Pelodiscus sinensis: one gene and its partners. The protein of the gene in region 1 purifies or fractionates together with the protein of each later gene. This does not show direct contact. Links are inferred from orthologs where the notes say so. Each region holds a gene or a part of one and is shown in the gene's direction. Other genes may lie near its edges.

Region 1 (7,379 bases):
CTTGAAATAGGTATATTGTGCTAGAATTATAATCATTCTGGAAGCATAAATGCACTTTTTAAAGGAGAGCATTAATATTAGCAGGTAGGTAACCTTTGCATTATCTAAAGCTGAAACCCACTTGGCACGAACCTAGTTCACAAAGATCACTTAAAAACTATTTCACATTGTTTAAAGAGAAACTACTCTTTAAATAATGTTAATTAAAACTTTAATTTAACTTTGATATTCACTGAAAAAAAGACCCTCTGTCTCCTAGGAAATAACATCTTTGATCTGTCCGTTTAATGTAGAATCTTTGATGATTTGGACTTTTTTTTCTCCTGTGCTGTTTCAGTGAGCTATTCTCTTTTGCATTCGTAGGTTGAAAGCAGAGTTGCAATTTTAGCTGCCAGAATTGGGAAAAGGGTCATTCAGAATAACCCTCCTACCCCACATCACAAGAGCCACTTTTTTGATCTCTTTCATTAAGACTAACCTCATATCATCAGAGGTTGAAGAGCTAGGGCCAGATTCTGCTCTCTTTGACACAAGTATACATTGTGAAGATATTCACTACAATTAATGGAGTGCTTAATCGGTGTAATACACAGCATGATCGTGCCCAAAATACATCCAATTGCTGTCTATCCTCACCGACCAATTAAGGGTATAAATGCTCAGAGATGCAATTTAAAAATATTCTTTGATGCTTTTTATCTGTCTACATAGATTGAGGTACCTTTTTTACAAATTGCTGCCTCTCTAAATAGACAGAACCATACTGTATTGACTTCAGAACAGAGCACTTTGGACCTGAATGTATTTGGGACAGATCTTTTTTTGGTGTAAATCATTATACAACTACTTACACCAGTTGAGGCTCAGTTGGGCAAAAACAGTGGACAGTGGGTATAGAGATGCACTTACACAGCAGGAGCTCTGGAATGGCACAACTCCTGTAGAGCTCCCAGCTGAGCTGGCCTAGAAACTTCCCCATCCCACAAGGGGTGCAAGCAAGGAACAATTCTTGTGCTTCAGAGACTGCAAAGCCTCACGTTCTAGTTGTCCATGTATGGGAATGGTTACCCATGTATTTAAGGTGGGAAAATTGCCTCATCTTCCCCACCATTGCCATGGGACCACACACAACTAGTAAAAGGGTTTAGAGGACAATCTTGTGGTGTAAATTATAGTACATTTGGCTCCATGATGTTCAATGAAGTCACAGGCATCAGCACCAGAGGTGAAAGTAAGTAGGTGTGCCTAGGTTCACAGCTTCAGCAAGAGCTGGCTGAACTGCAGCAAAAGCCAGCAGGGAGCTATTTAAAGAGCAGGGACACAGGCTGCAACAGGACAACACCTGTAATTAATTTTAAGTTACTTTCACTGCTGATCAGCACACTGACATGTGCATCAACTGAATATAGAAAGGATGCAATCAAAAGAGCCACCAGAAGAAAAAAAAGAGCTCACATTCTGACAAAGTTTTGTTGCTGGCCAATAATGATCAAACTAGGGTCTCAAACACCCAGCAGTGCAAGGTACCTAAGACAAGTAGGGCAATTTCCTCCACTATCTTAATTGATCTCAAATGTATGTATCATGGTGGGTTGGACTGTATGTTATTCCTCCCCTGGAATTAAGAACTGAGAACAGGGAAGGAATGGGGAGTGCTTAAGCAAATTCACTCAGGTCATAACACCTCCAGAGGAGTAACACTACTGGAGAGGCACAGGTATACCAGTTCAAACTAGATTTCCCAAAGACTAAGTGACAAAGAAAGAAGTTTAGATAAATAGCCTCAGTTTAAACTGATAAATGGCCTTTTTTCTGATCCAGCAAATGGACAGGACCTTCTGCCTATGGGAGGCTCCGGTCATTCCTGGGAAGGGTTGGAAGGACTTTGACCTACTGAAACCCCATAAGACTCATAGGTGACCTCTAGCAAGCTTTTGCATCCATATTAGGAACTCTTGCCGTTTTCATAAGATTTCTCTGTTATGCTTTCACCTTAAGAATAAAGGCAATTACACTGTGTGTAGCTTTTAAAGAAAAAGCAAAGCACAATGGCTTGGTTAAGCAGTCTGTCTTACTGGGAATGGTGAAGACCAGGAAAAAGCCAGGTCAGCAAGGAGAGAGATGCAGGTCTCTACTTAACAGAAACGATGGTTGAAGAGTTAGCACCCTGGAATGGGTCTCTTAAGGGACCATAGAGGGGAAATACAGGCATAGTTTGCGGGGAAGAAAAATTAAAATGTTGTCTGAAAAGATTTGCTTCTTCAGCCAGGCACGCTAAGGCTTGTGAGTCCATTTGTAATCCTAATAGAGTACACTAAGCATATGCAGAGAGAAAAGGATAACTATTAAGGGGAAATATTGACCTCTGGAATTTGTGTGGCTCTGAAGGGATCTAACAATTATTAAATCTGAATAGAACCCCAAGTATGGGGAGATTTGAATCCAGTTCTGGGCAGAAATCTCAAGTTTAAAAAAAAAGCAGAAATATTGCTCCAATCTCCTTCTGTCAAATGGGGATTCTTATTTTGGAAAATATAATCTGAAAATACCGAGAAGGTGCTAAAACTGTGCTTTGAAAAGAAAATAAACTACATAAGCAAATGTTTGCTGGTAGGGAGGGTGCTTGGGGTGGGAGAGTAGGTAGGAATAAAAAGGAACTGGGAGATGGGGAATGGGTAAAGGAGGAAGACTAAGGCATGTAGAGGGGCAAAAGTGGAAGAATAGGAAAGGAGAGAGTGGTTGACAGGAGGACTGGGGAAGAATGGGGCAGGGCCCTTGTATCATGAATGATCTATGGTCCCCTACATGGGCAAGACCCACCCTCCCACCGCTGAAGGCTTGGAATGAGGGACGTGCCCATCTTTTGTATGTGACCTCCACCAGTCCCGACCCTTGTGAGCCAGGCTGGGGTGCTGGCTATCTATGGGGTCTGACCCCCCCCCTTCCTGCCCCCATGTATGTGCCAGGCTCGGGGGAAGGGCTGCCCATCCATGACGTGTGACCCCCCCATGTATGTGCCAGGCTCGGGTAGGGGGCTGCCCATCCATGACGTGTGACCCCCCCCCATGTATGTGCCAGGCTCGGGTAGGGGGCTGCCCATCCATGACGTGTGACCCCCCCATGTATGTGCCAGGCTCGGGTAGGGGGCTGCCCATCCATGACGTGTGACCCCCCCATGTATGTGCCAGGCTCGGGTAGGGGGCTGCCCATCCATGACATGTGACCCCCCCCATGTATGTGCCAGGCTCGGGTAGGGGGCTGCCCATCCATGACGTGTGACCCCCCCCCCCCATGTATGTGCCAGGCTCGGGTAGGGGGCTGCCCATCCATGACGTGTGACCCCCCCCCATGTATGTGCCAGGCTCGGGTAGGGGGCTGCCCATCCATGACGTGTCCCCCCCCATGTATGTGCCAGGCTCGGGTAGGGGGCTGCCCATCCATGACGTGTCCCCCCCCATGTATGTGCCAGGCTCGGGTAGGGGACTGCCCATCCATGACGTGTGACCCCCCCCCATGTATGTGCCAGGCTCGGGTAGGGGACTGCCCATCCATGACGTGTGACCCCCCCCCATGTATGTGCCAGGCTCGGGTAGGGGGCTGCCCATCCATGACGTGTGACCCCCCCCCCCATGTATGTGCCAGGCTCGGGTAGGGGACTGCCCATCCATGACGTGTGACCCCCCCCCATGTATGTGCCAGGCTCGGGTAGGGGGCTGCCCATCCATGACGTGTGACCCCCCCCCCCATGTATGTGCCAGGCTCGGGTAGGGGGCTGCCCATCCATGACGTGTGACCCCCCCATGTATGTGCCAGGCTCGGGTAGGGGGCTGCCCATCCATGACGTGTGACCCCCCCATGTATGTGCCAGGCTCGGGTAGGGGACTGCCCATCCATGACGTGTGACCCCCCCCCCATGTATGTGCCAGGCTCGGGTAGGGGACTGCCCATCCATGACGTGTGACCCCCCCCCCATGTATGTGCCAGGCTCGGGTAGGGGACTGCCCATCCATGACGTGTGACCCCCCCCCCCCATGTATGTGCCAGGCTCGGGTAGGGGACTGCCCATCCATGACGTGTGACCCCCCCATGTATGTGCCAGGCTCGGGTAGGGGGCTGCCCATCCATGACGTGTGACCCCCCCATGTATGTGCCAGGCTCGGGTAGGGGGCTGCCCATCCATGACGTGTGACCCCCCCATGTATGTGCCAGGCTCGGGTAGGGGACTGCCCATCCATGACGTGTGACCCCCCCATGTATGTGCCAGGCTCGGGTAGGGGGCTGCACGGGCTGCGACCCCCCCCCCCCCCCAGCAGAGCCGCCTCCGCAGCGCGGCCCCGCCCCGCACAAGGCCCCGCCCCCGTGCGCGGCAGAGGCCCCGGGCGGAAACCCGGCCCCGCCCCGCCGCTCCAGCTCCGGCGGCGCGGCCTGTGCGCGTGGCCCGGCTGCGGGCGGCTCGTGCGGCAGCAGAGGGGCGGGGATCGCTCGCGGCCTCCAGGCCCGGCCCCGCGATGGCCGCCGAGGCGAAGACCAGGCTGTCCAAGAACCTGCTGCGCATGAAGGCGAGAGCGGGGGCGCGTGCGGGGCGGGCTGCGCCCGGTGGAGGGATTGAGGGGCGGGGCGGGGAGTGGGGGCTAAGCCGGCCCCCAGGGAGATTGGGGGAGCCGGCCCTGGCAGCAGAGCGGGGGGGGAGGGGTTAGGGAATGAGGGGTGGGGTGGGGCGGGGTGGGGCCCCCGAGAGGATTGTGGGGTTGTAAGGCAAAGACCTGGCCCGTGCCAAGGGGGTGAGGAGGGAGGGCCGGGGGAGTGGAGCCCGTGGGGAGAGGTACCGATGTCAGCGTGACTACACGGCTAACCGATAAGCCGGGGTTTGTGTGTTACTCTTAGCAACTACACACACACACACACACTCTGCCTGGGTTTGTGTGTTACTCTTAGCAACTACACACACACACTGCCTGGGTTTGTGTGTTACTCTTAGCAACTACACACACACACAAACACACACACTGCCTGGGTTTGTGTGTTACTCTTAGCAACTACACACACACACAAACACACACACACTCTGCCTGGGTTTGTGTGTTACTCTTAGCAACTACACACACACACACACACTCTGCCTGGGTTTGTGTGTTACTCTTAGCAACTACACACACACACAAACACACACACTGCCTGGGTTTGTGTGTTACTCTTAGCAACTACACACACACACACACACACACACTCTGCCTGGGTTTGTGTGTTACTCTTAGCAACTACACACACACACACACACACTCTGCCTGGGTTTATGTGTTACTCTTAGCAACTACACACACACACACTCTGCCTGGGTTTATGTGTTACTCTTAGCAACTACACACACACACACACACACACTGCCTGGGTTTATGTGTTACTCTTAGCAACAACACACACACACTCTGCCTGGGTTTATGTGTTACTCTTAGCAACTACACACACACACACACTCTGCCTGGGTTTGTGTGTTACTCTTAGCAACAACACACACACCCTGCCTCTATATCACAGGGGCGAGTAGGAGCTGGTGCCGTGGCGAACCAGCACGGGAGCTGCCTGCTCCTCCTCTCCCACCGCCAGCGTTGCTGCCTCTGATAGAAAGGCAGATACGAGACGTGGGGAGGGGGGGGAAGGTGGGAGACAGTACACGCAAGAGGCCGGCTTTCAAGCCAGATCCCAGTGCATATGGGCTCATGCAAGCCGCTACCCCTTTCCCTTCACACACACACTGCTGCCTCTCTATCAGAGGCAGCAGAGCAGAACATGGCATCTGGAGCAGACAGGCAGGAGCTGATACATGTGCGGAACTGGCTTTTAAGCCAGCTTTCCTCACGTACCAGCTCTGTGGAGCCACCTGCCTCCTCACCCCCATACTGTTGCCTCTTATCTGAGGTGGCAGCGAGAGAGGACCAGGGGAGGTTGCTGCGGAGCAATCTCTGTCCCCAGTAGGCCCAGGCTGATAGCGGACAGAGGCTGCTCTGTGACATGTCGGTGCAGCCTCTGTCTGTGGGGGAAGCTCAGGCCCCCCATGGACAGAGGTTGCTGCTATCAGAGCACACTGGCTGTGGGCCCCATCCCTGGGGACTATCGAATACTTAAGTAATCAATATTTTGTGGAGTTACACAACTATTCAGTTAATTGCTATCTAACATCTCTAGAAAAGCTCCAGGAGGCTTCTGCACGTGGGACCAGACATTTAGGGGTAGGGGAACAAAGGGAAAGATTGCCCACCAGCATTTGAGGAGGCCTCAGACAATCGCAGGCCCAGAAACAAAATTTTTTTTAATTACCCCTCAAGTGGACACCTTAATCTCCATATCATCAAAACTACTGCTCCCCCATTGTAACAGTGTGGCCACACACACATTTTCCAGGCCACTGCTCCCCACTGGGAGGATTGTGGAGGCACAGAAAGGAGACCATTCCCGAGGTGGGGAAGATGAGAAAGAATGCCTTTTCAAGCTAGTGGGGAAGCTGAAGTATATAGAGCGCTACAAAGAGGAGAGGGCAGGGAGCCGGATATTGACATAGGGGGACTGGTATAGAGGCTGAGGGTAAGGAGGTGGGAAGCTGTGTGTCTGCCTAGGCATTTGTACCTTTTGCTGCTTACTGTTGTACTTGGAAGTATGGGCGGAAGAAATGAAAAGACTAAATTAGGCTATTCAGTATGGGCTGATGAGAAGCTGAAGACCTCTGGGGGCATGAAAGGACATGGGGAAGGTGTTTTGAATGGCAGGGAAGGGACCTAAGCACAGCTAGAGCGAAGACAATAAGCTGGTTTTTGCAGTGTAAACTGGGAAGAGATAATGGCATTATAATGTGTACCCCCTTCTCTGCTATGGGCTCTTCCACACCAGGCCAGCCTGCTGGGACATGGTTTCAGTCAAGGTGCTGTGTGCTGTTTCTAGGATCAGGACCCATGTCCTGAGCTGCCAGTGCAAAGAGACACGTCATCTTAGGAGGCATAGGCATAACCAGGGGTGGATATAGGGCAGGGTGAACGGGGCGGCCGCCCCGGGCCCCGCGCTTAAAAAAGCCCCGAGCATGCGCCGTGGCAAAGGGGGGCCCCGCGGAGTTATGCTGCCCGGGGCCCTGCAAAACAGTCATCTGCCCCTGGGCATAACTGTACTAAACTGGTGTACAAAATAAGCCTTGGGGTGCTTTGCTCATCTGTTGCAATAAAAACGTGTAAATATGGTATAAACCAAAAATGTATGGTAAAGATAGTAAATACATAGTCAAATAACATCATAAGGGGCATTGGGCCCTCTCTTGTATATGATTCATGCTTCAATCTGGAGTCCTGATGTAAGTGAAAATTTGCCTGATTTTGGGATAGGGTCTTGAACAGTAA
Region 2 (7,260 bases), about 38 Mb from region 1:
GGGATCCCTTGAACTTCCGTCTCTGGCCCCAGGAAGTCTAAGCAGTTCTGGTGACCCCATGGAAGTGGGGGCCTGACCCAGTTTGAGAACCACTGCTCTAGAATTCTCTTTTGGGGCCATTACTGCAGTCTGCACAAATGCTGCATCTGCGTTCTAGCTCCAGAGTCCAGGTGCTTTTCTCTGTGGGGTGCTGCTGGAGGTGTCCCGGGGATTGTGCATCCGCACAGCCTGTCCTGGGAGTTGTGTAACTGCACCAGTTCTTTCTCTGAACGAGGGCGCTCCATCTCTTTTTGGGAAGATTATGTGCCTGGTGCTTAGGGACTTCTTCCCAGTCAGTGAAGCCTCTCCACCTTCACCTTTCTTGCAGCCCATTTCTGTTCACTGGACAGGGCCTTGAGAGGCTATCTAGTCCAATACCCTGCACTCATGGCAGGACTGAGCATTACCTAGATCATCCCTGACAGGTTTGTATCTAACTTGCTCTTAAATATCTCCAAGGATGGAGATTCCACAACCTCCCTGGGCAATTTATTCCAGTGTTTAACCACCCTGACAGGTAGGAAGTTTTTCCTAATGTCCAACCTAAACCTCCCTTGCTGCAGTTTAAGCCCATTGCTTCTTGTCCTGACCTCAGGTTAAGGAGAACCATTTTTCTACAGTCTTTGCAACACTTTTTTATTTATTTGAAAACTGTTATCAGGTCCTCTGTCTTCTCTTCTCCAGACTAAACAAGCCTATTTGTTCAGTCTTGCCTCATAGTTGGTTTCTAGATTTTTAATATACATATATTTTTTTTGCTCTGGACTTTCTCCAGTATATCCATGTTTCCTGAAATGTACCTAGAACTGGACCCACTACTCCAGTTGAGACCTAATCAGCTCATAGTAGAGCAGAATTACGTCTTGTGTTTTGCTTATAAAACTCCTGGTGATACATCCCAGAATATTGCTTTTTTCCAACACTGTTGACTCATATTTAGCTTGTGATCTACTGTGATCCCTAGATCCCTTTCTGCAGCACTCCTTCCTGGGCAGTCATTTCCCATTCTGTGTGTGTGAAATGATTGTTCCTTCCTAAGTGGAGCACTTCTCTCCTTATTTAATTTCATCCTGTTGATTTTAGATCATTTCACCAATTTATGCAGCTCGTACCTTCAGGGCCACTGGGGACTGTCCTGGCTGTGGCTGCAGAGGGATCTGAGAGCCTGCAATGTGGTGTCAGGAGCTGGTTCTTGCCATGACTCGGTGTGCATGTCTCCACAGGCCCTGAATGAATCTCTGAAGCTGTTCAAGGCTTACTCCCCTCAGACTGCGGCCATGCTCTTCTCTGTGGATAGCGAAGCTGGGAAGATCACTTGCTTATGCCAAGTACCTCAGGTAGTACTGTGTGTGTGCCCTTCCTTGTGCCGCCCTGCAGCCATTCAGATGGAGTGTCAGACTGGTGGGGGGGGCGTACTTCAGGATTCTTGCACCCCTCATGCACAGGGAAGTCCACCTTCCAGCCTCTTCCCTATCTGCATCTCCCCTCCCCCCGCCCCTTTCCAGTAGCAGTAGCCCTGCTCCTGACCCTGGCTCCTGGGGATGGGGTGTGGAGACAGGGATAGAAACATGAAATGAGCAGCTTCCACTGAGGAGGGGCTCTGAAGAAGCATTACTCTGTGTTTCTTCTGATTCCTGTTCTGTCTCTGACTGCCCCTTCAGCCTTACACCACATGTCCAATGGCATATGCCTCTGGTGGGGTCGGTGGGTTTTGTTCGGTTACTGCTGCGAGTGCAGGGCTTGGCCTTGACTTTTGTAGCTCTGATTTTGAAAACAAATAATGTTTGAGAGGTGAATCATGGAGTACACAAGACAAATCAGACTCCTGAAAGGGGGTGCGATCACAGAAGACCCTTTGAGGCTATTGCTGTCACAATAGGCAGTGATCTTGAAAGATTGAGAGCCACTGATTCAAACCCACTCACCTGCCTGGAAAAGACGTTTCCTTCCTTCCCTCCCTCCCTGGCATTGTCAGCCACAGCACAGAGCCTGGAAATCCTGCCTTCCCCAGCAGTCACTCCAAACCTGCTGTCTTTAAAAGAATCTGAATTCTTGCTTTCCAGGAGCTAGCCACCAAGGGCCTGAAGGCAAACCAGTGGGTGCAGGAGGTGACGGGTCTGATGGATGGCAAAGGCGGTGGGAAAGATGTATCTGCCCAAGCTACAGGAAAGAATGTTGACTGCCTAGAGGAGGCTCTGAAACTGGCCACAGACTTTGCCAAGCTCCACCTTGGTGAGCTGAAGAATTGACCTAGTGCCCCTGCACTGACTCTCAGCACATCAAGGAATGCCCTCAACTCTCCTCAGCCTGGCCGATAGGTTACAGTGTAGTGGGGCTTGTGAAGATGGATTCTGCTCCTCATTCCTTCTGAATCCATTTGCTTGAGGCATTAGCAGACTAAAAGCAGAATCAACAGCTTGTGTCCTAATCCAGCTCTGATGAGGTCTCCCGGTAGCCTGTGTTGAATCATGTCACTTTCATCCTCTCTATGTCTGTTCCTTGTCTAAAGTCAAGCTGACAGTACTGACCTACTTCCCAGGCTACTGTGAGGATTAACTAGCTAATGGTGTAAAGTCTGCAGAGCACAGTCCAAGGTGCTAATTGTTAGCAAATACTGTCACACTTCTACAATAAATTAACATGCATCAAAGCCAAGAGTCTGTGTGTACCACCTTCACCCCTGTGTTACTACACTGGAAGCATGAGCTGCAATGAGGCTGGGTGTCGAAGGTGGGGATCCAACCTGCTAGAGTATTTTGAACCTCACCACTGTTACCAGCTGTTGATAATACAGGAAGTTTGCAGAGGAGTGACTGGTACCACATTCTCTGTAATTCTCTGAAGTGCCAGCCTTGGGATGGTCAGAGGTGACAGGGCTGAGCTACTCTGCATGGGAGCAAAAGCCAGAGACAAGGCAGGTGGGAGCACTGGCCTGCACTGACCTATGGCCCACAGCTACTGCAAGGGTGCCTGCTGTCAGTGGGGGCTTCACACACCCTACCTCAGGGAGTGCCCAGTAACCTTGAATCTCCAGGGAGGCTGTAGGAACACTGTCAGCCTCATGCTTCCTCAGCTGGGGGGTCACTGTTCCCACTCAGGAGCCTCTCCTAGCCCCATGTGAGCCTCCTCCCCCTCCATTACCACTCAAGCCCCCCTTGTCAACTAGGGTTGTCAGGTGTCCAGATCTTGACTGGAACACCCAGCTGAAAGGAACCATCCTGGCACCACTCAGTGCTGCTGACCAGCCATTAAAAGTCTATGCAGTGGGGCTAATGCCTTGACTCTGTGTGGCTCCCAGAAGCAACACTTTGTTCCCCACTTTGGCATCTACATTTAAGGGCAGCCAGGGCCCTTCACACCAGTGGGGAGATGGCTCTGCTTGTGGGAGCTACTTGCGGTAAATGCTGGCAGGAACCTGATCTCCCTGCTGCCCTACATCCTACCCAGAGCAGCCTTCTGCAACCCAAATCCCTCACCCCTACCCTATCCCAGTCTGCATCCCCAGCCACAGCCCTAGCCTGGTGAAAATGAGTGAGCATGTGAGGGAGAATAGGGAGAGTGAGCAACAGGAAGGGGGCATGAAGTGAGTGGAGAGCAGGGAGGGAGGCGAGGGTGTTTGGCTTTAAGTAGAGTTAGCGATAGGATGGGGCTTCTCCCTACTGCCAGCCCCTGAATAGCCCTGCCCACCATTATCACTGGGCCCCCTTGCTAATCTCCTCCCCTGCTGCTGGCCCCCTCACTAGCCCCCTGCCCTCCCCACCTTGCCATTATCTGCCCCTTTGCTAACTCCCCTCTCTCCTGCCACCCTTCCCTGCTGGAAAAACTTGAAAAACAAGGACTAATCTGATAGCACCTCAGAGACTAACCAAGTGTGGATGGCGGGGTGAGCTTTCCCAGCTCCAGCTGAACCTGCGCCCCGCTGTGCCCGGCTCATGAGCCCAGCTCCGCTGTGTTAGTCTGTAAAGTGCTGCCAGACCACTCCTTGTTTTTCCCTCCCCTGCTCTGTTGGCCCCACCCCCTCGCTAACCACGCCCCCTGCTGTTACCGTTGGCCCTGCCCTCTCGCTAACCCCGCCCCCTGCTGTTACCGTTGGCCCTGCCCTCTCGCTAACCCCGCCCCCTGCTGTTACCGTTGGCCCTGCCCTCTCGCTAACCCCGCCCCCTGCTGTTACCGTTGGCCCTGCCCTCTCGCTAACCCCGCCCCCTGCTGTTACCGTTGGCCCCGCCCCCTCGCCGCTTCCCAGCCCCGCCATGCCGCTGGACCCGCGGCGCGTGCCGGGCCCCGAGGAGTCGCAGCCGCCGCTGCTGTACGCGGCGCCGGGCCAGGCGGCGGCGGCCGATGAGGCGGAGGCGGAGGCGGGGGCGCTGCGGCCGCTGCTGGCGCGCGCCGGGCTGCTGAGCCAGGCCGAGGGCTCGGCCTACGTGGAGCTGGCCGGCGGCACCAAGGTGCTGTGCGCCGTGCGTGGGCCGCGCGAGGCCGCCGAGGGCCGCGGCCGCCTGCTCTGCGACTTCCGCCGCGCGCCCTTCTGCGCCCGCGGCGCGCGCCCGCGCCCCGGCCCCGCCGCCGCCGCCCGCGAGCGCGAGCTGGGCCTGGCGCTGCAGGAGGCGCTGGCGCCGGCCGTGCGCCTGGCCCGCTACCCGCGCGCGCGCCTCGAGCTCACCGCGCTGCTGCTGCAGGACGGCGGCGCGGGCCTGGCCGCCGCGCTCTGCGCCGCCGCGCTGGCGCTGGCCGACGCGGGCGTGGAGATGTTCGACCTGGTGGTGGGCTGCGGCCTGTGCCGCGCGCCCGGGCCCGCCGCCGCCTGGCGCCTGCAGCCCAGCGCGGCCCAGGAGCGCGCGGCCGCCGCCCGCCTCACCGTGGCGCTGCTGCCGGGCCTGGGCCAGGTGGCGGGGCTGCTGGGCAGCGGCCAGGGCGGCCCGCCCGAGAGCTGGGCCCAGGCCGTGCGCCTCGGCGTGGAGGGCTGCCAGCGCCTCTACCCGCTGCTGCGCCGCAGCCTGCTGCGCGCCGCCGAGCGCCGGGCCGGGCTCCCGCGGGGCCTGCCGCCCCCCGAGCGGGACCCCCCGGACCGGCCTCCTCCCCCTGAGGGGCCCGCCCGGCCCCCTCCCCCTGACCGGCCCTGAGGGGCCCGCCCGGCCTCCTCCCCCGCCCGCCCGGACCGGCCCTAAGGGGCCCGCCCGGCCTCCCCGGCCCGCCCGCCAGGCTCCTTTCCCTGAAGCGCCCCCGAGGGCCCCCAACAGGCGCCAGCTGCTCACCCCTTTCCAATCACGGCCCCCTCCCAGTTCGCTGAGCCTGTAATGCAGACTATGGGCCAGCCCCCCCTTCCGGGAGTTAATGAAGGTCTCAGTGGCACAGCCCTCCCACCAGTACATCTGTGATGAGATCAGGCCCCCTTTGGTGCTGGGCAGCAGCCCCTCCAAACTAGCTCAAGACCTGGCCCATCGCCAGTGTGGGGAGCAGCGCGGCAACCTCACCCCCCTGCGACTGGACTGCTAAGGGGCCTGATCCACGGAGTAGCCACTTTCTGGAAAGCCCCACGAGGAGGCAGTGTGACCAGAGCCCCAGACATTGCTCCACCTTGCAAGGGATATGAGTTGAATGGGGCCTCTCTACCAAGGAGGAACATATCATGGACTTTTGCACCCAGAGGGAAATTCACCAGCACCATGGCAAAATTGTGAACATTTCAACCGATATCGGGACTGAAAGCAAAGCCAGAATCTGGAGACTGAACATATGCAGGAGATCTCCTTGTGGCTTTTCTTCTCTATGCTGGCACCAGGTGGGGTGAGCTGGAGATGTCTTGTAGAAGAGACTTTACAGATGCAAGTCAGCACTGCAGAACTGACAAACTGTGGCAAACCTTTTAGGGCAAGTCCTTCCCATCCAATGGCAGCTACCATCCACCATAGAACTGTTTAAGTGGCTTTTTAAGTATAATAGAAATGGGGTTTGTACTTTATGGTTAACACAATTCAGCAGATGAGAGGTAAACTGTTTTGCAGGTGATTGGCTGCATGCAACAATGTGAGGCAGTTGAATCTTTCCATTGGTAGGATTAGACTGCCTTGATTTGTTGGTGTGCACAAATGTATTTGGTATGTGCTTCAGGGGGACGTGGGAAAACCCTCCCCCTCCTGCCTGAGATTTTAAATTGTTTCTATTGACTCCCACCTGATTCCTACGAAATGGCAAGAAATACTGTTGACCAGCAAGCAGTCTGTTTTATTAGATGGTTTAAAATGTTTCTCAGTGATTTTTTTTTTTTGGTGACATGTTGATTATATCTTAATTCTCCCCCAGAAAATCACGACTGCATTTTTCCTGGTTTTCAGTTCACTTTCCCTAAAAATTGAGAGATCTGCTAGTGTAATTATTTTGATTTAATCGGGACCTTCCATTTCCTCTTTGGTTGCTGCTCTGCTTAGCATGGGTTCTTTATTGCATGTCAGTGTTTAATTTCCAAAGAGGCCAGTTAACGCAAATTCTCAATACAATGGACAGGTACCAATGCAGTTTTTTTCTTTCTCTGGGGTTAATGTAAATGTTATTACTTGACTACAACAGGAGAAATTGATAGAGAGCCTTTATCCTGAATCTGCTGTAATGTGTAACTCACCCAGCCCCTGGTTTGTATTGATTTGGAGGATGGGTTCCCAACAGAAGTGATGATGGAAAGGTTTGGTTGTATACTTTGGTGACTAAAATCTGAGCACCAGTCAGAAACCACTGCCCAGTGAACTCTAGTTAATATATAAGACCCATTTGTAACTCTCCACCAAAGAGAATTGATTGACTGGAGAACATTTTTATATTACAATAAATTTTCTTACTGGGAAGTTCATGTTTTCTTGGCTTTGATCTATGTGGGTCCTCTGCTCTGTAATGGGCCCTTTGATTAGAAAACTCTCCAAGTGAAATCCGTGATGTCCCCAGATGTCCTGAAGACTAAAACTCCATACTAGCAGGGCTAGCTTTCTCTTACTGCCCACTCTCCAGCTCTGAGTTCCCCTATTGTGAAGAGGATAGCTTTGTGCATAACAGCTCTACTCCTATGTAAAGGGGCCAGTTATGTAAATCTTTGCTTTGAAACTGGACTGAAGGCAACAGTTTCATCATAATGACTGAACAGCAAGCACATGATAATAACTGGGCTGGATTTGAGTCTTATCCTAGAGGGGAAGGCATTACAGCTGTTAGTGTTGTTCCAGAGGTGTAGATGTT
Region 3 (7,901 bases), on another chromosome or scaffold:
GAAAAAAAAAAAAAAAAGCTGCGCTGGGGGACAATAGGTGCTGGTACATCCGTCCCAGGGCACGGCTTTTTTTTTTTCATAGCTTTTCCCCAAGTCTTTGCAGCCCAGCCTTTTTTTTTTTTTTGGCTCAACAACTTTACCCCGGCTCTTCATGCTGTCTCCACTGCTATTGTGACTCACAAAAAGAAGCACTGGGAAAGGGTGAGAGGTGCAAGTTCTGGGAGGGAATTTGAGTGCAGGAAAAAGTAGAGAAGAGGATGCTGGCTCAGGGAGAGGGCTCTAGGCTGGACAGTGTTGGGGTCAGGTGGAGTCTTGGGGTGCTGAGCAAGCCACAGGCTTGTTGCTGTGAGGGTACAGGAGTTTGGGCTGGGGTGCATGAGGGGATCAGGGCAGGGAAGCTGAGAGTATGATGGGCTCAGGACACAGACTTGCAGGTGTGGATGGTGCAGGAGTGTTGTGGCAGAAGACTGGGGATGAGGGTGTGCAGGAGTTTGGGGATGTGAGAGGCTTAGGACAGGGGGTTCCAGTGAATGATAGGCTCAGGTTGGGGCCTGGAGGGGAGGGAGGTGCAAGAGTGTTATGATGCTGAGGCCAGATGGAGAACTGGCCCCAGTTGGGGGCTTGTTGGCCAGGCTTCATTTTTAAATAAAATATGTCAAACACAAAATGTTTCAGCATTGTCTTTATTTATGAGAGGGGCGGGGAACCTGTTTTGAGTCAGGGGTCACTGACCCACAGAAAAGTCAGTCAGGGCCACAAAAGTGAGATGCAAAAAAACAACTCCTCCCAAACCCCCCAACCCTCACTAATGTGGCCCCAACTGTGCTGCTGGGGGCAGCGGATAGGGTGCTGGGGCAGGGTACTCATGGGGGGGGGGGGGGGGTCTGGCCAGGAGGAGGGGACAGAGACAGCTGGGGCCAGTACCTAGGGATCCCGGGTCTCAGGAAGTTGCTGCCTGCTCTTCCCCTTCCCTCCCCCAAGGATCCACCCCGGGCTCTAACCCAATCTCCCTCCCCTTCCCCAGAGCCAGGAACATCCCCCCCAACTCAATACTCCTCCCCTTCCCCAGAGTCAGGAACACACACTTCCCTAAACCCAATCCTCCTCTCCCCTCCCCAGAGCCAGGCACGGGCCCCCCTCAATACCAATCCCCCTCCCCCCCACTCTAATCTAATTCTCAGGTCCTGGAGGTGGAGCCGCCACTAACAGCTAGACGCGTCTCCCTCCAGGTGCCGGGGTGTGTGCGCTGAGTGGCCGGCCTTGAGATGTGCTGGCTGGGACACCGTGCACACGCCTCTCCCTCCCCCCCCCGAACCCAACCACCCTTCCTTTCCTTTCCTTCCCTTCCCCTCCCCTCCCCTCCCATCCCATCCCATCCCCCAGACTAGAGCCAGGCACATCCTGCAGGGTGGGAGGAACCCAGAGCTCAGGCTCCAGGCCAAGCTGGGAAGTCTACACTACAATAAAACAGTACTGCAACCCGAACCCTACGAGCCCACATCAGCTGGCTTTTCATTGCAGTTTAAACATACCCCGAGACAGCACCTATTGTTCTTGTGGCCGATCAATTTATAGACAAGGACAATACATACATACTCCTTCTGGTGGCTCTTACTGCAGTGAGACAGATAAGACAACAACATGATCTGCAGTGCCAGCAGTAAGTAGACAGCCTCCAGCTTACAACTCTTTCACATCAGAAGGACCTTTATAAGTTAAGGCTAAATTACTTGCCCAAGATCATACAGGAAGTACATGGTAAAGCCAGGAATAGAATCCATATCTCCTAAACAAGACCATTCTTCCTTCCTTCTGCCTGATTAAAGCCCCTGCTATAAGTTCCAGAGTGTGAAATTCTAAAAAAAACCAATATGGATATTTTTACTCCTAACCTCCCATACTGACTTTAAGAGTCACTGAAGACCAGCTTAAAGTGGCTTTTGTAATCTTTCAGCAACCTAGTTAATAAATGTCTACCTTTATTTTACACAGTTTTAGTAAAAATTGTTTTTTGCAGAAAGTAGTTTAATTTCTGTCACTAAAAAAGCATGTCTGGACTCTATAGAAGCTCTACATGCACAACTCCATTTACTTGATTGCGACCTGAAAACTTGGTAAGCAAAATGGCTACATAATCTGCAATTTTCTGTTGCTGACATTCACCAGCAACACAAAACTTAGTTTGTCTCTCAAAAAGAAAACCAAGAAATATTCTTACACCTGTCTTCCTCATTGTATGAAGGCACAACAACAGAAAGCTCCTTTGTAGGGGGGTCATGTATGCTTGGTATAGATTCCTTCTTCCCTTCAGCATTTACAAAGAACTTCTCTTCTTCATGTCGATGAAGATTTGGCATTTTTGTGGCAGTTATATGGGCAACAATAGTAATCTGTGAAAAAACAGAAATGGTATTTATGACAATGTTGCATTAAGCAAATGCTATATTCATTTTTTGCATAACCACATTTGGTTAGGTGTTCAACTATTCTAATTTACTGAACAAAGGATGGTCAATCATATCTGTGGTCTACATTCGAGTAATTTAAAGTCATTCCTATTACACCATCAGGGTCATCCCAAGGAGTCACAGGTTCTGGGGAAACCCTCACCCCATTTGTGCAGCCCAAGGTAAGCCCCATCCTACAAGCCCTGCTTCTTCCCTTCCCAAGCCCCATAATCTCCCAGGTACCTCCTGTCCATAGGATGGATGGAGGAGCCGCAGGGCCCTCTCCAAAGCACAGGGCCTTGGACGGCTGCCCCAGCTCACCCTATGGATAGGATGGCTCTAACAACCATGGTAAAGTGGGTCCATTGAGGAGTGCTCTTTTATCTGCTGCACAGATCAAAAAGGAACTTTACCGGTTATGATTTATAGTCTTTATATGGCATTTAGTGGTTCCATTTTATCTACACAGGATATGGCTCCAGGTTCCCAGCAAGTTGCAAATGAAATTTTCAACTAGAAAAGGCCACCATAAATTTGACCCAGTGAACATTTTCTAGACCCTGGTGCACAACAGTTCTAAATCTTGTAGCTATACCCACTGCATTAGTTGATAATTAACTAAAAATCTAGAGCATAGCAAGCATTAGCAGCAACATCTCTAATATTAAGCAAGTCCATACAAGAAGCAAATCTTATCACATATAAAACTGATATTAAATAATGCAATTAAGTAACAACTTTTGTTTTCCATTAAAAATACCATACACACACACATATAACTCACACAACACTACCACTACGAGCAGACTAACTAGAAAGAAATACTGCTGAATTAAGAGATAGGCCACCATAATTTGCAGTAATCATAAACTTCAGTAACTGTGGAATTACGGATGTAAGTGATTAATCGACTATCCGATAAGCAAAAGTTAGCGAATAGTCGACACACTAGTTGACTAGTCGCTTCCGCCCCCTTGCTGCCTCTTTCATAGCAGGGAGTCCTTTGGGGGCTCTTGTGCATTTCAAAGGTGGAACATGGACGTTCTTATCGACTAACCGAATAGTCGATGGAAATCCCATCAACTATTCGATTAATTAATTAATCAAAATTTAACATCCCTATGGATGTTATCATTTAACATCTCTGTGGAATGAAATCTTATGACTTACAAAAGTAAGTGAAGAAGGAAAGAGGAGAAAAATGTATTAAATATATAGGTAATATGTTTGCATGTCATATATCCTACTTCTGAGTCTCCAGAGTGTCTGAAATCTCATGTCAATTAGACACTTCGAAATTGCAAATGAAGCCAGGATTTGAATTTCCTGCACTACATTTGCATAATTGTGTCATGGTGCTCTTTCGAAAAAGCGCTATTTCAAAAGTGAAACTGCAGTCTAGACACGGTAATTTCGAAAATAGAAGCTTTTTTTGAAAGATCCTGTTGAAAGACAGATGTAGTCTACAAAAGCGACGAGGAGTCCTGTGGCACCTTATAGACTAACTGAAGTGTAGGAGCATAAGCTTTCGTGGGCAAAGACCCACTTCATCAGATGCATGTAATCTAGACACCCCCTCATTTTCATCTTCTTGACTGTAATGAATTTGGGGCAGGGACTGTTTACATCTATGTCATATAACAACACACACACACTGCCTGCACTTACTAATGTGTCCTGCTAGCTTCTCTAACACAGCTACCAAATTCTTTGAACAAAATACAGTATTTAAATGGTTCAATTTTTCTTAAAATTGGAAAAGTGTAGTTTTATCCTCAAACTAAATGCTACAATGATTACAGGTAACATAGAGGAGAGCAGCAAAAATGATATAAAAGCTTAGAAATCCTGGCCTACAAGTACAGATAACAAAAAAACCTGGGCTTGCTTAATCTTTAAAAAAACGACTGAGGGGCAACCTGATAACAATTTTCAAATACGCTAAGGGCTGTAAGAAAAGGGACAACTGTTCTGCACATCCTGTGAAGGACAAAAAGTAGTGGCCTGCAGCAAAGGAGAACTGCTTGATATTAAGAGAAATGGCTTCCCAGGCAGGCTGTGGAATCCCCACCTTGGGCCATTATTAAGAGCGTGCTGGACACTCGACCTGCCCGTCAGGGACAGTCGAGGGGTTACACGGTCTAGCTTCGGGGAGAAGGGCTGGGCTTTGTGAGATTCCTTCCAGCCCCACACTGCAGCGGGTCTAAAGCTGCGACCGCCCATCCGGGCCGGGCCGAGCCTGTGGCCCCAGGCAGTCTCGTGCGGGGGAGCGGGAGCGTGGCCCCTCCCGCCCAGCGCCCCTCGCCGGGGTCCCGTCCCGCTGCCGGTCGGGGCGCTGGGCTGCTCCCCCCGCGGAAGGGGGCGGGGCCGCGCCCAGCGAGGGGCTCTCAGCTGAGTCGGGGGCTGCCCCGTGAGCGGCGCGATGCCCCTCAGGGGCCGCACTCACCAGGCTCAGGGCTGCGGCTGCCAAGGCAGCGAGCGCGGCGGCCACGTCAGCCAGGAGCGGCTCCATGCTCCATGCCGGGCGCGGCCTATGGGGCAGCTCCAGCGAGGCGGAAGCGGCCCTGACAACAAACCGCTGCGACGAGAGGAGCCGCTTCTCAGAGCGCCCGGGCCCCACAGCGCCCCCTGCCGGGAAACCTCCGCCCCTCCCGGCCAGCATCCGCCCAAGGGGCAGATGGGGGAGGAAGGGGCACGGAAGTGCGTCCCCCCCGGAACCGGAAGTAGATCGCGCAGGGGCGGAAGCGGGACTATGGCGGCCGGATTCAAGTAAGAGACTGAGCGAACAAGCTCTTTGGCCTTCGCCTTCAGTCACCTCAGCGGGAGCTGCGGCTTCGCCCAGGCTGCTGCCGAGTCCTTAGGCCCGGCGGTCGCAGCGGCGTCGGGCGGTGCCCGGGTGCAGAGGGTTTAGCCTTCATGTGGCGCCCCCTGGCTGTGGCTACTCGCCGCACGCCGGGCCCCGAGCTCTGCCAGGCCCGAGCTTGGGAACCGATTCCTGGCGGCTGTGAGGGGCCGCTCCCCCCGCCCTGTCTGCAGCGCCTGCTCTCAACAGCCCGCCTTGGGAGTGGGGGCGGGGACGAAATACACCGCCCCTTCCCCCCCAACTCTCACTTTTCCCTGGCAGAGCATGTCCACCCACCGCTTGTCATTCGTGGTCTTGGCAATCGAGGGCCTGTCTCCTGCAAGCACGTGGCACGTGCACTTTTTTTTGCCTGTGACTAATTTTAGTGAGTTCACTGGGGCTCCCCATACTTATAGCACGATGCTTGTGCAGAATTATTTATAGGATTGTAATTGAGGCCCTTACTCGCTATGGTAAAATCAACATTCGGTTTTCCCCTCCTCTTAAACTGACTTAATTCTTAGATTTTGTATATTTCATTCTATCTGAATTTATCTAGATTTCAAAACTAAAGACTTAATAGCTGTAACTGCTGTTGAATTAAGGGTTTGGGTCAGTAATAGGACTGTGCCCTTTAGCAGCCAGACAGTGTTAAGGGAGAGACCAACTTTCTACCTCACTACACCCTCTCTCCAAATTATTCACTTTCAATGTAACATTGCAGTTTGCTACAGAAAAGTTCTTTCAATTTCAATGAATTACAGAAATACATTATTCTTCCCACATCCCTAAACCTTACAGCAGTTATGGTTCTGAGTTACATTGCATCATATGTTTTGCCAAAAAAGTGAGTTGTCATAGCCAGCTAAGGCATTTTGAAATGTGGGTCTTTGTCTATGTTAGAGGAAAAGTCTTGGTAGAAATCATAGCAACTGTAATCTGTTCCTAATCAATATGAAGACCAAATGTTAGAGTTGCTGGAGTGGAGGAATCCATCTGAGGACAGTTAGAAGAAAATGGGAGTTAAGTGTAAGAACTGATTGAACAAGGAGTCCCAGGTGTTTGGGAAAGAAAGATTTCTGCATTGATCCAACTCTCTTTGCTTCTCTCCTGTGTGTCTCAATCTTTAAATGGGGCACAGTAGATTGTACAGGCAGTCCCCGGGTTACATGGATCCAACTTACATCGGATCCCTACTTACAAACGGGGTGAGGCAACCCCACACTAGCTGCTTCCCCCCAGCAGACCAGGGAGATGCGAAGCTAGCGCGTCGTCCCCCCTCCCCCCAGCAGACCAGGGAAACGCGGAGTGGCTTTTCTCAGCAGACACCTCAGCTTAAGAATAAAGAACTGAGGGAAGTGAGGTGTGGGAGAATAAAACTGAGCTCTGGAGAAATGTTTGGCTAGAGTTTCCCCTACAATATGTACCAGTTCCGACTTACATACAAATTCAACTTAAGAACAAACCTACAGTCCCTATCTTGTATGTAAACCGGGGACTGCCTGTATTGCCTGAGCCAGTGAGGTCTAGCCCTTGGCTGTGTCTACACTGGGCCACTTATTCCGGAAAATCAGCTGCTTTTCCGGAATAAGCTGTGAGCTGTCTACACTGGCCCTTGAATTTCCAGAAAAGCAACGATGCTCTACTGTACAAAATCAGCCGCTATTCCGGAAAAACTATTCTGCTCCCGCTCGGGCATAAGTCCTTATTCCGGAACACTGTTCCGGAAAAGGGACAGTGTAGACAGCCCAGTAGTCTTTTCTGGAAAAAAGCCCCGATCACGAAAATGGCGATCGGGGCTCTTTTCCGGAAAAGCGCGTCTACATTGGCCACAGATGCTTTTCCGGAAAAAGGGCTTTTCTGGAAAAGTAACCTGCCAATGTAGATGCTCCTTTTCCGGAAAAACTGAAAATGGAATAGTATTCCGTTTTAAGCATTTCCGGAAATTCATGCCAATGTAGACACAGCCCTTATGTCTATGCTAACTGGGGATAGCTCAAGGAATACTGACATTAACATTACCCTTCTGCTTGTAAATTGTCATACATATGTCCGATTTATGTTGGCTTAGAAAATGTAATAAAAGTTCTGAGTTACCTTTTCCATAATTTGTCTTCAAAAACATTAGTTTGAACAAAACTTGAGGGCCTTGTGTCAAAGATTAACTGTGCTGCAAACAGTGTTGTATCAGTTTCTAGTTGTGGAACATTGTGTCTTCTCAGTTTTTCTGTTCTCTGTTTTAGCCTTTGTCTCCACTACCAGGTGGATCCATGCTGCAGCAATAAATCAACCAGTGGTTGATTTAGTGGGTCTAGTGAAGGCCTGCTAAATCAACTGCCAAATGTGTTCCCAGTGAGTCTGGTACTCCACTAGAACAAGATGCATAAAATAAATCAATGGGAGAGTTTATCCCATCAAACCAGAATAGTGTAGACACTGCAAGTAGTCGACCTAAAGTATGTCAACTTCAGCTATGTTATTCACATAGCTGGAATTGTGCAACTTAGGTCAACTTTATTGTGATTTGAAAAATTGTGTCATTTTAGGGAGTGTGCAGAAAACAATCTGAAACATTACATTCTATGTTAAAAATAATGTTGAATTACTAAATT
Region 4 (7,078 bases), on another chromosome or scaffold:
TGGATTTGAATTTCCCGTGCTTCTTTTGCATAATCGTGTCCAGGCGCTATTTCGAAATATTCTATTTCGAAAAAAGAAACGCTGTCTAGACGCAGTTATTTCGAAAGAAAACCCTTCTTTCGAAATTCCCCAACGCCTTATAAAATGAGGTTTAAGAGTAATTTTGAAAGAAGGGATTTCTTTCGAAGTAACCGCATCTAGACAGGGTTTCTTTTTTCAAAATAGCGCCCGGACACGATTATGCAAATGAAGCATGGGAAAGTCAAATCCACGTTTCATTTGCAATTTCGCTCAGCTGCATTTGCATTCCCCTCTTGAAAGAGGAATGCAGTGTAGACATACCCTAATTGAGAACACAGCAAGCAAAGCTCCTATGAAGCTTGATGAGGTGACTTGTAGAACACAGCAAACCTAGGAATGAATAAGACATGAAAACCAAAGATACAGTAGTTACACATGACAAATATGTATCCAGTGAATACCTGAAATTAATATAAAGACAAAAAATAAGGTATGTGAATTGACTAAATTAATGTCTTCTTGTATACAGTGCTCTGGATATGAGTACGAAAGAGTCTTCCTTTCTGCTCATGATGGGCCACAGATACCAATTTGATTACTATATCTGTAATTGCTAATTTTGGAAATAGTGTATCCTTTAGAACAGTTTTTTAAAAGGTTAGATTTTAGCTAAAACTCAGGCACAAGGCAAATGGAACTGGCAACTTTACATTTTGCCTAAACAGCATCTTGAATTTCTAGTTAAATAATTGCATAAAATATCTTCTGAATAATTGCAACTGTGCACATACTAAATTTAGAATTTGTTTAAACTATATGAAGTTTTTAATAAAGTTTAACACCGCTCCTGTGACATATCATATTTTAAAATCTGAGATATTAAAAGCCTTTTATCCTGTACATTCAGTTGTCTATAGTTTTTTATTATTATTATGCATACTTTGGAACCAATTTGAATGAAGTGTCAAAAATCATGTTTTCTTTAATGTATTCAGTCAAAATAATGTTGATGAAAAGTTGTTGGGGGGGGGGATTCCTCAATAAAAATGTATGATTTTAAAACACCATAACACACTTATGCATGTGACTTCCCTCTCTCTAAATAGAAGAGCTTCAGTCAGCCTGTAAATTGGCTTTTCATAATGTAAGAAATTCCAGATGGGGTAAGGGAGAGGAAGAGAAGGCTATTTTATAGCTAATTATGCTTCTCTAGAAAGGTAATTTACAACCCTCAATTGAATGTAACTTCTCCTGAAGTCAGGTGGAATTCTGGAAGAAAACCCTAAATCTACAATTAGCTAAAACTGCATAGTAAGTAGTTACTGCATACTACAGTTAAGATGGTAAATGGCAGAACACACACCATCCATTCCGTCTTTATCTGCGTATATATTTTAGAGTGTGTGTGTGTGTGTGTCTGTCTGCGAGTCCATTTGTTCAAGAAGTCCTTCTAAAGGGTAAGAGCTAGTGCCACCAAATTTGGAGTGCAGCTCCCTCTTCACCTAACTTAAAGCAAGGTCTGGGTTTGGTTGTGCCAGGACAATTGAAAGCCCGGGGAAAAGGACAGTTTTCCATAACATGCAAAGGGAGAGACTGCTGTTCAGAGGGACACAATATGAGAGTAGCTGCTGGGGGCAGCTGTACAATCAAGGGAGTGACAAGCAGGGCTGGGGCTCTGCCATTTTTCCTGCCAGCAAGCCAAGTAAGTATCCTTTAAACTGTTTTCCCTCTTCCTGGCCCTTGGCCACAGCACGGGGGAAAGGGGACAGCCCCTGGCAGCAGTGAGGAGATCTAAGGGGGGAGAGAAAAGGCCTGTGCCAGATGGGCCTCCTCCACCCTGAGCTTCCCTTTATCCCCCAACCCTCACTTTCTTAACCCCCGCAGCCTCCAGAACTCCACACACACACATTCCCAAGGCCCTGCCCTGACTCCTACATCCCCACAATATCAGCCCCTTGTCCTGAAGGACCCAGTACATAATAGCATATTGCATAAGGCATCCACTTCTGTCCAGAAGATACCCCAAAACAAAGGAATGCAAAATCCCATTTAATCAATTAACTTGTTAAATGTTACAGTTAACCACTTAATTGATATCCTGTGGGCAGGAAGCCCAGGGAGGCTGGAGCTGACCCCTTCCTGTCGCTGCACAGTGGGCCACAGTTTTTAGCACTAGGTTAGGGATGCATCTACAGAATGTGATACTGGAGAAGGCACAAACACAAGGTATGTCTAGACTATGTGGCTCCATCGATGGAGCCATGTTGATTAGTTTACTAGACATAGGAAAATGAAGTGGCAATTTAAATAATCGCCACTTCATTTACATCAAAATGGCTGCCGTGCTGTGCCAATCAACTGTTTGGCGGCACAGCACTGTAGTCTGGACGCTCTGCGGTCGACAAGGGAAGACTCATAGAATGAGGTTTACCGGGGCGGTCAACAAGTGCTTCCTTCGTCGACCATGGAGCGTCCAGACTACCGCGCTGTACCACCAAACAGCTGATCGGCACAGCGTGGCAGCCATTTTGATGTAAATGAAGCAGCGATTATTTAAATTGCCGCTTCATTTTCTTATGTCTAGTAAACTAATCTACATGGCTCCGTCGACGGAGCCATGTAGTCTAGACATACCCACATAGTCTGAGTTTGTGGCAGTTGGCTAAGGTCTATACTATCCATGCTCACTACTCCAAGGGTGGGATTTCTTCTGCCCTGAAACTTCTGAAATCCAGAATTAAAAGTTTTCTATTACATCTATCTTATGCTATTTTCATCAGTATTCTGGATGTTCATGGTACGTTTTTCATAAGCAAATAAACTTAGGCTATGTCTACACTACTTGGGCAAAAACTTGCAGAGCGTCTACACTGCACGTGTGTTCTTGCACAAGTAAATTTATAGTACAGCGTCAGAAAACAGGGCTTCTTCCGGAAGAGTTATTCCTTTCCCCACAAGGAATAAGCCCTCTTGCGCAAGAGCTCTTCCACAAGAAGGCAGTGTAGATGGGGTAACATGAATTTCTTGTGCAAGAAACCCCTATTGCTAAAATGGCCATCAGAGCTTTCTTGCGCAAGAGAGTGTCCACACTGCCATGGACGCTCTTCTGCAAAAGCACATCTCTTTTGCAAAAGCTCATGGCAGTGTGGACGCACTCTTGTGGAAGACCTTTTGCACAAGAACTCTTCCGCAAAACAGTTCTTGCGCAAGAAGCCTGCCATGTAGAAGTCTACATGTTTTTGCCTATTCTTGCGCAAAAACGTGCGTAGCGTCTACATTGCACGTGTGTTCTTGCACAAGTAAATTTACAGTAAAGCATCAGAAGAGAGAGCTTCTTGCACAAGAGTTATTCCTTTCCCCCCTGTGGAATAAGCCCTCTTGCGCAAGAGCTCTTGCCAAGAAAGCAGTGTGGACGGGAAAAGGGGTTTCTTGCGCAAGAAACCCCTATGGCTAAAATGGCCATTAGAGTTTTCTTGCACAAGAGAGCGTCCACACTCCATGGACATTCTTGCACAAAAGCACATCTCTTGTGCAAAAGCACATGGGGGCGTGAACACGCTCTTGCGCAAGAACTTTTTGCACAAGAAGCCTGCAGTGCGGACATAGCCTTGGGGTTCTTTTTATTTAATATCATGGCAGAAAATTGGCAGGTGAATTGGCAAGACAATTTGACAGTTATACTAATGAACCCCTGGTATCTTTATTTGGCCAGGTGATGTCGCCAGTGGTTAACAATTCAGGGGGACATGAGTTTTCCGTTTTCTAACTCCAGCTTCCTAGTTTAACATTAGCAGTTTGTACAGGCGAATCAGAGACGTGCGGGTTGTGCACAGTTCGGCTGGCACCCGCCCATCGCAACAAGCGGGCCTGCTCCCCTGCAGCGCTACCGCAGGCCGGGTAATGTACAAGCCAGTTCCTTACAGGAACCTCACTCCGGGTCTTCGGGCTTGCACGCGCCGCCGGGCGGGGCTGTTCGGAGTGACGTCCCCGCCCATTCTGCCGGCTGAGGCCCTAGCCAGACTTGTGCGCATGCGCAATATGGACCCGCTACCCCCTCCCTCCGCCGCTTTTCGGCGCACGCGTCCCCCCTCGTTGCGACCATGGCGGCCGAGGAGGGGGCCCTGCCCGCCGAGCAGCGCGTGGGGCAGGTGGTGCTGCCGGGGGATGTGCTGCTGCTGCCCTCGCACCCCGAGGCGGGCGGGGAGCGGCTGTGGCTGGGCGCGAGCGCCGCGCTGCCGGGCCGGCTGGTGTGCGGGCCGGGCCTGCGGCGCTGCGGGGCCGGGCTCCTGGTCACCAAGTGCGGGCTGCTGCGCCACCGCCCGTCGGGCGGGGCCGGAGGCGGCTCGGGCGGCGCCTACTGGGTGGACTCCCAGCAGAAGCGGGTGAGCGCGCGCGCGCGGCGGCGGGTGGCGCGTGCGGCCAACGTCTCCTCCCCCCCCCCCCCCCCCGCGCGCGCTACCTCCCGCTCCGTGGAACCCGCCGCGTGATCGACCCAACGTCTGCGCCCTGCCCCTCCCCCCAGGGGCGAGTGTGGCGGGGCACAAGCGCTAAAGACAGAGCCCATTGCTACTGACATGATTCACTGGAGCAGGGCTAGTGCCCCTGAAGCGCCTCTGGTTGCAGGATTAAGCCACTTCCAGGAGCAGCAGTTGCCATTGGGGTAATAACTCCAGTAGGTTCGGCATTTTAGAACTGGCTGCTCCAATAATTACATTTAAACTCAGAGAGAAATGAAAAGGATGAAATGCACAGACCAGTCAACAACCCAAAATCACACGCTTTGCAAGCAGTAAAAGAAATCACCCCCCCCCCCCCGCACACACGTATGTTTTGGGTTGGGAGATGAAAGTGAAGGACAGTGTGTGCCTGTGAGAATGACAGGCACACATAGTGTAGGAGAGTGACAGATTTACATTGCCAAGCTCCCTCCATCCCCTTTTCTCTGTGGAAGTGGAGAGAGGAGAGACACCCTGCACAGCAAGCAGGAGGCTCGGCGGGGGGGGGGGGAGCAGCTCCAAGGCAGAGGGCAGGAGCAGCATGACAGTGGGTGGAGGGGCAACTGAAGTGCCAGTGCTTGATAGCTTCCTGGCCAAACTAGTCAGGATCACCTGTCAGAGGCTCTAAGGTCTACCAGTAGATCCCAATCTACTGGTTGGTGACCACTGAGGTAGTGGCTCCGTCCTCCCTCCCTGCACTGCTGCCTCTGTATCAGAAGCAGCAGTGCGGGGGGGCTACACGTTACAGAGAGGGTTAACCAATGAGCCCTCACACACACAAACACGCGCGTGCGCGTGAACGATATGTTTCTCTTGTTACATGTCTTAATCCTAAAGTTTGTTTTCATTTTCAGTATGTACCAGTCAAGGGAGATCATGTGATAGGCATAGTGACTATCAAAGCAGGTGATATATTCAAAGTGGATGTTGGTGGAAGTGAGCAAGCATCTTTGTCCTACTTGGCATTTGAAGGTGCAACCAAAAGAAACAGGCCAAATGTGCAGGTAATTTTGTTATATATATATATTGGCACTATCAAAGCCCTTAAAATACTGTGTTTTCACTTTCTTGCAAATTGACAATTAAAATTTCCTCATATATTTATCCGTATCTTAGTCAAAAGATGTTCTGGTATATAATAGATTTTTAGTGAAATGTACAAACATTTTCTTTGCCTTTTCTCCTAGCTTTTATGTTGGACCCTGGCAGAGGGAGGGATTTTCTTCCTTTGATCACTGACTATCACAGTATTAGTTGCCAGATTTTGCCATTCATTATACAGAGGGTGTGCAGCTGTGTCACAGGGAGGAAATGGCACTTCTGTGATAGAATAGCTCTTCAAAGAGAGAGTCTGAGATCAATTTAGGCCTAGAATTCAGGTTACATAAAACAGGCTCTTACAAAATGTGACTGTCGTGCTGTCTTGAGTGGCTCTCGACTATAGTACCTAACTCAGGGCAGACTATGAAACAGGGCAGACATGTTAAACTGGTGATGAATTATATAATTAAATGTCACCAACTCAGTAACAAATATGAACACCTGGATCATAGACAGTTCCCTTAGACATTCTTTATCTTGCCACCCAGACAAGAGGAGCTTAATGATAAATAGTTAGTTACACCAAAAATCACACCATGTTCAAGTTGCTTTGTTGCTTTCAGTCCACAAGACAATCATTTACCCCAGATCAGTTGATACTAGGGATGTAGGCGAGTAGTACCTGTCGCTTCCCATCCCCGTTAGTGCCTCTGCATGAGAGGCAGCAAGGGGGAGGAAACAGGAGTCGGCTTAAAAGCTGGTTTTCCCCAGTGTTGCCTGCCCCCTTATCCCCACTGATAGAGACAGCAGCAGGGGACATGGGAGGCTGCCACAGAGCAGGCTCTGCCCACTGCAAACCTGGCACAAGCTGGGACCAAGCAATTCCAGCTTGTGCTGATCAGGGACCACTGCAGCTCTGCCTGTGCACCTGGCTCCTACAATTAAACTGCAGAGCTGCAGTGAGGGTAGCTCCTGAACCAGCACAAGCTGGGACTGAGCACCTTCCCTTATCAATTAATCGTGAAGTCAATACAAATTGTATCGACTACACAATTAGTCAGTTACCCATCTCTTAACATCCTTAGTTGGTACTCTAGAACTTACACCAAAGACAGTGCCTGTAGCCAATCCTCTAATAAGCTATCTAAAGGTTTAAAAGTCTCAGAGATGTAGTAGGTTGTTCTCTTGAAAGTTCATGAAACAATCTACATTTTTTTTGTTAGTCTCTAAGGTGCGGCAGGACCGTTTGTTGTTTAAGTTTTATCTAAAGGTTTGTTAACTAGGAAAAGGAAATGAGTTCATTGTAAGTTAAATAAGCAAGCCTGTACACACAAATGAACCATTATCTAAATCCTAAAAGTACGAATGTTGTAATAATCTGTCAATTCCAAGTGTCCTTCAGGGCAGATTTAGGGGAAACCTCTGGGAATCTCTGCTTCAGTTTAAAGCCTGTGGCCCTATCAGAGTTCAAACAGCAGAGAGAGAGATGGAACATTTTCAAGTCTACAGGGTAAGCGTCT

The links.
Region 2: the proteins of MPHOSPH6 (region 1) and EXOSC6 purify together in Homo sapiens (affinity purification with mass spectrometry; 3 studies listed by BioGRID and IntAct, with this or other methods). This does not show direct contact. The link is inferred for Pelodiscus sinensis from reciprocal best matches to the Homo sapiens genes MPHOSPH6 and EXOSC6.
Region 3: the proteins of MPHOSPH6 (region 1) and EXOSC8 purify together in Homo sapiens (affinity purification with mass spectrometry; 4 studies listed by BioGRID and IntAct, counting the BioPlex papers as one, with this or other methods). This does not show direct contact. The link is inferred for Pelodiscus sinensis from reciprocal best matches to the Homo sapiens genes MPHOSPH6 and EXOSC8.
Region 4: the proteins of MPHOSPH6 (region 1) and EXOSC3 purify together in Homo sapiens (affinity purification with mass spectrometry; 6 studies listed by BioGRID and IntAct, counting the BioPlex papers as one, with this or other methods). This does not show direct contact. The link is inferred for Pelodiscus sinensis from reciprocal best matches to the Homo sapiens genes MPHOSPH6 and EXOSC3.

Annotation. Positions count from the first base shown.
Region 1 is NC_134722.1:10,611,460-10,618,838, forward strand, and holds the start of MPHOSPH6 (M-phase phosphoprotein 6), read left to right. Parts: upstream 1-4,372; 5' UTR 4,373-4,508; coding exon 4,509-4,559; intron 4,560-7,379. UniProt on the Homo sapiens protein: RNA-binding protein that associates with the RNA exosome complex. Involved in the 3'-processing of the 7S pre-RNA to the mature 5.8S rRNA and play a role in recruiting the RNA exosome complex to pre-rRNA; this function may include C1D.
Region 2 is NC_134722.1:48,825,792-48,833,051, forward strand, and holds EXOSC6 (exosome complex component MTR3), read left to right. Parts: upstream 1-4,242; 5' UTR 4,243-4,289; coding exon 4,290-5,159; 3' UTR 5,160-6,875; downstream 6,876-7,260. Other genes in the region: AARS1 (alanine--tRNA ligase, cytoplasmic), read left to right, coding at 1,263-1,376, 2,103-2,288. UniProt on the Homo sapiens protein: Non-catalytic component of the RNA exosome complex which has 3'->5' exoribonuclease activity and participates in a multitude of cellular RNA processing and degradation events.
Region 3 is NC_134711.1:294,865,691-294,873,591, reverse strand, and holds the start of EXOSC8 (exosome complex component RRP43), read left to right. Parts: upstream 1-4,882; 5' UTR 4,883-4,980; coding exon 4,981-5,216; intron 5,217-5,262; exon of another isoform or gene 5,263-5,457; intron 5,458-7,901. Other genes in the region: ALG5 (dolichyl-phosphate beta-glucosyltransferase), read right to left, coding at 2,219-2,357. UniProt on the Homo sapiens protein: Non-catalytic component of the RNA exosome complex which has 3'->5' exoribonuclease activity and participates in a multitude of cellular RNA processing and degradation events.
Region 4 is NC_134718.1:14,179,715-14,186,792, forward strand, and holds the start of EXOSC3 (exosome complex component RRP40), read left to right. Parts: upstream 1-4,064; 5' UTR 4,065-4,121; coding exon 4,122-4,403; intron 4,404-5,371; coding exon 5,372-5,521; intron 5,522-7,078. UniProt on the Homo sapiens protein: Non-catalytic component of the RNA exosome complex which has 3'->5' exoribonuclease activity and participates in a multitude of cellular RNA processing and degradation events.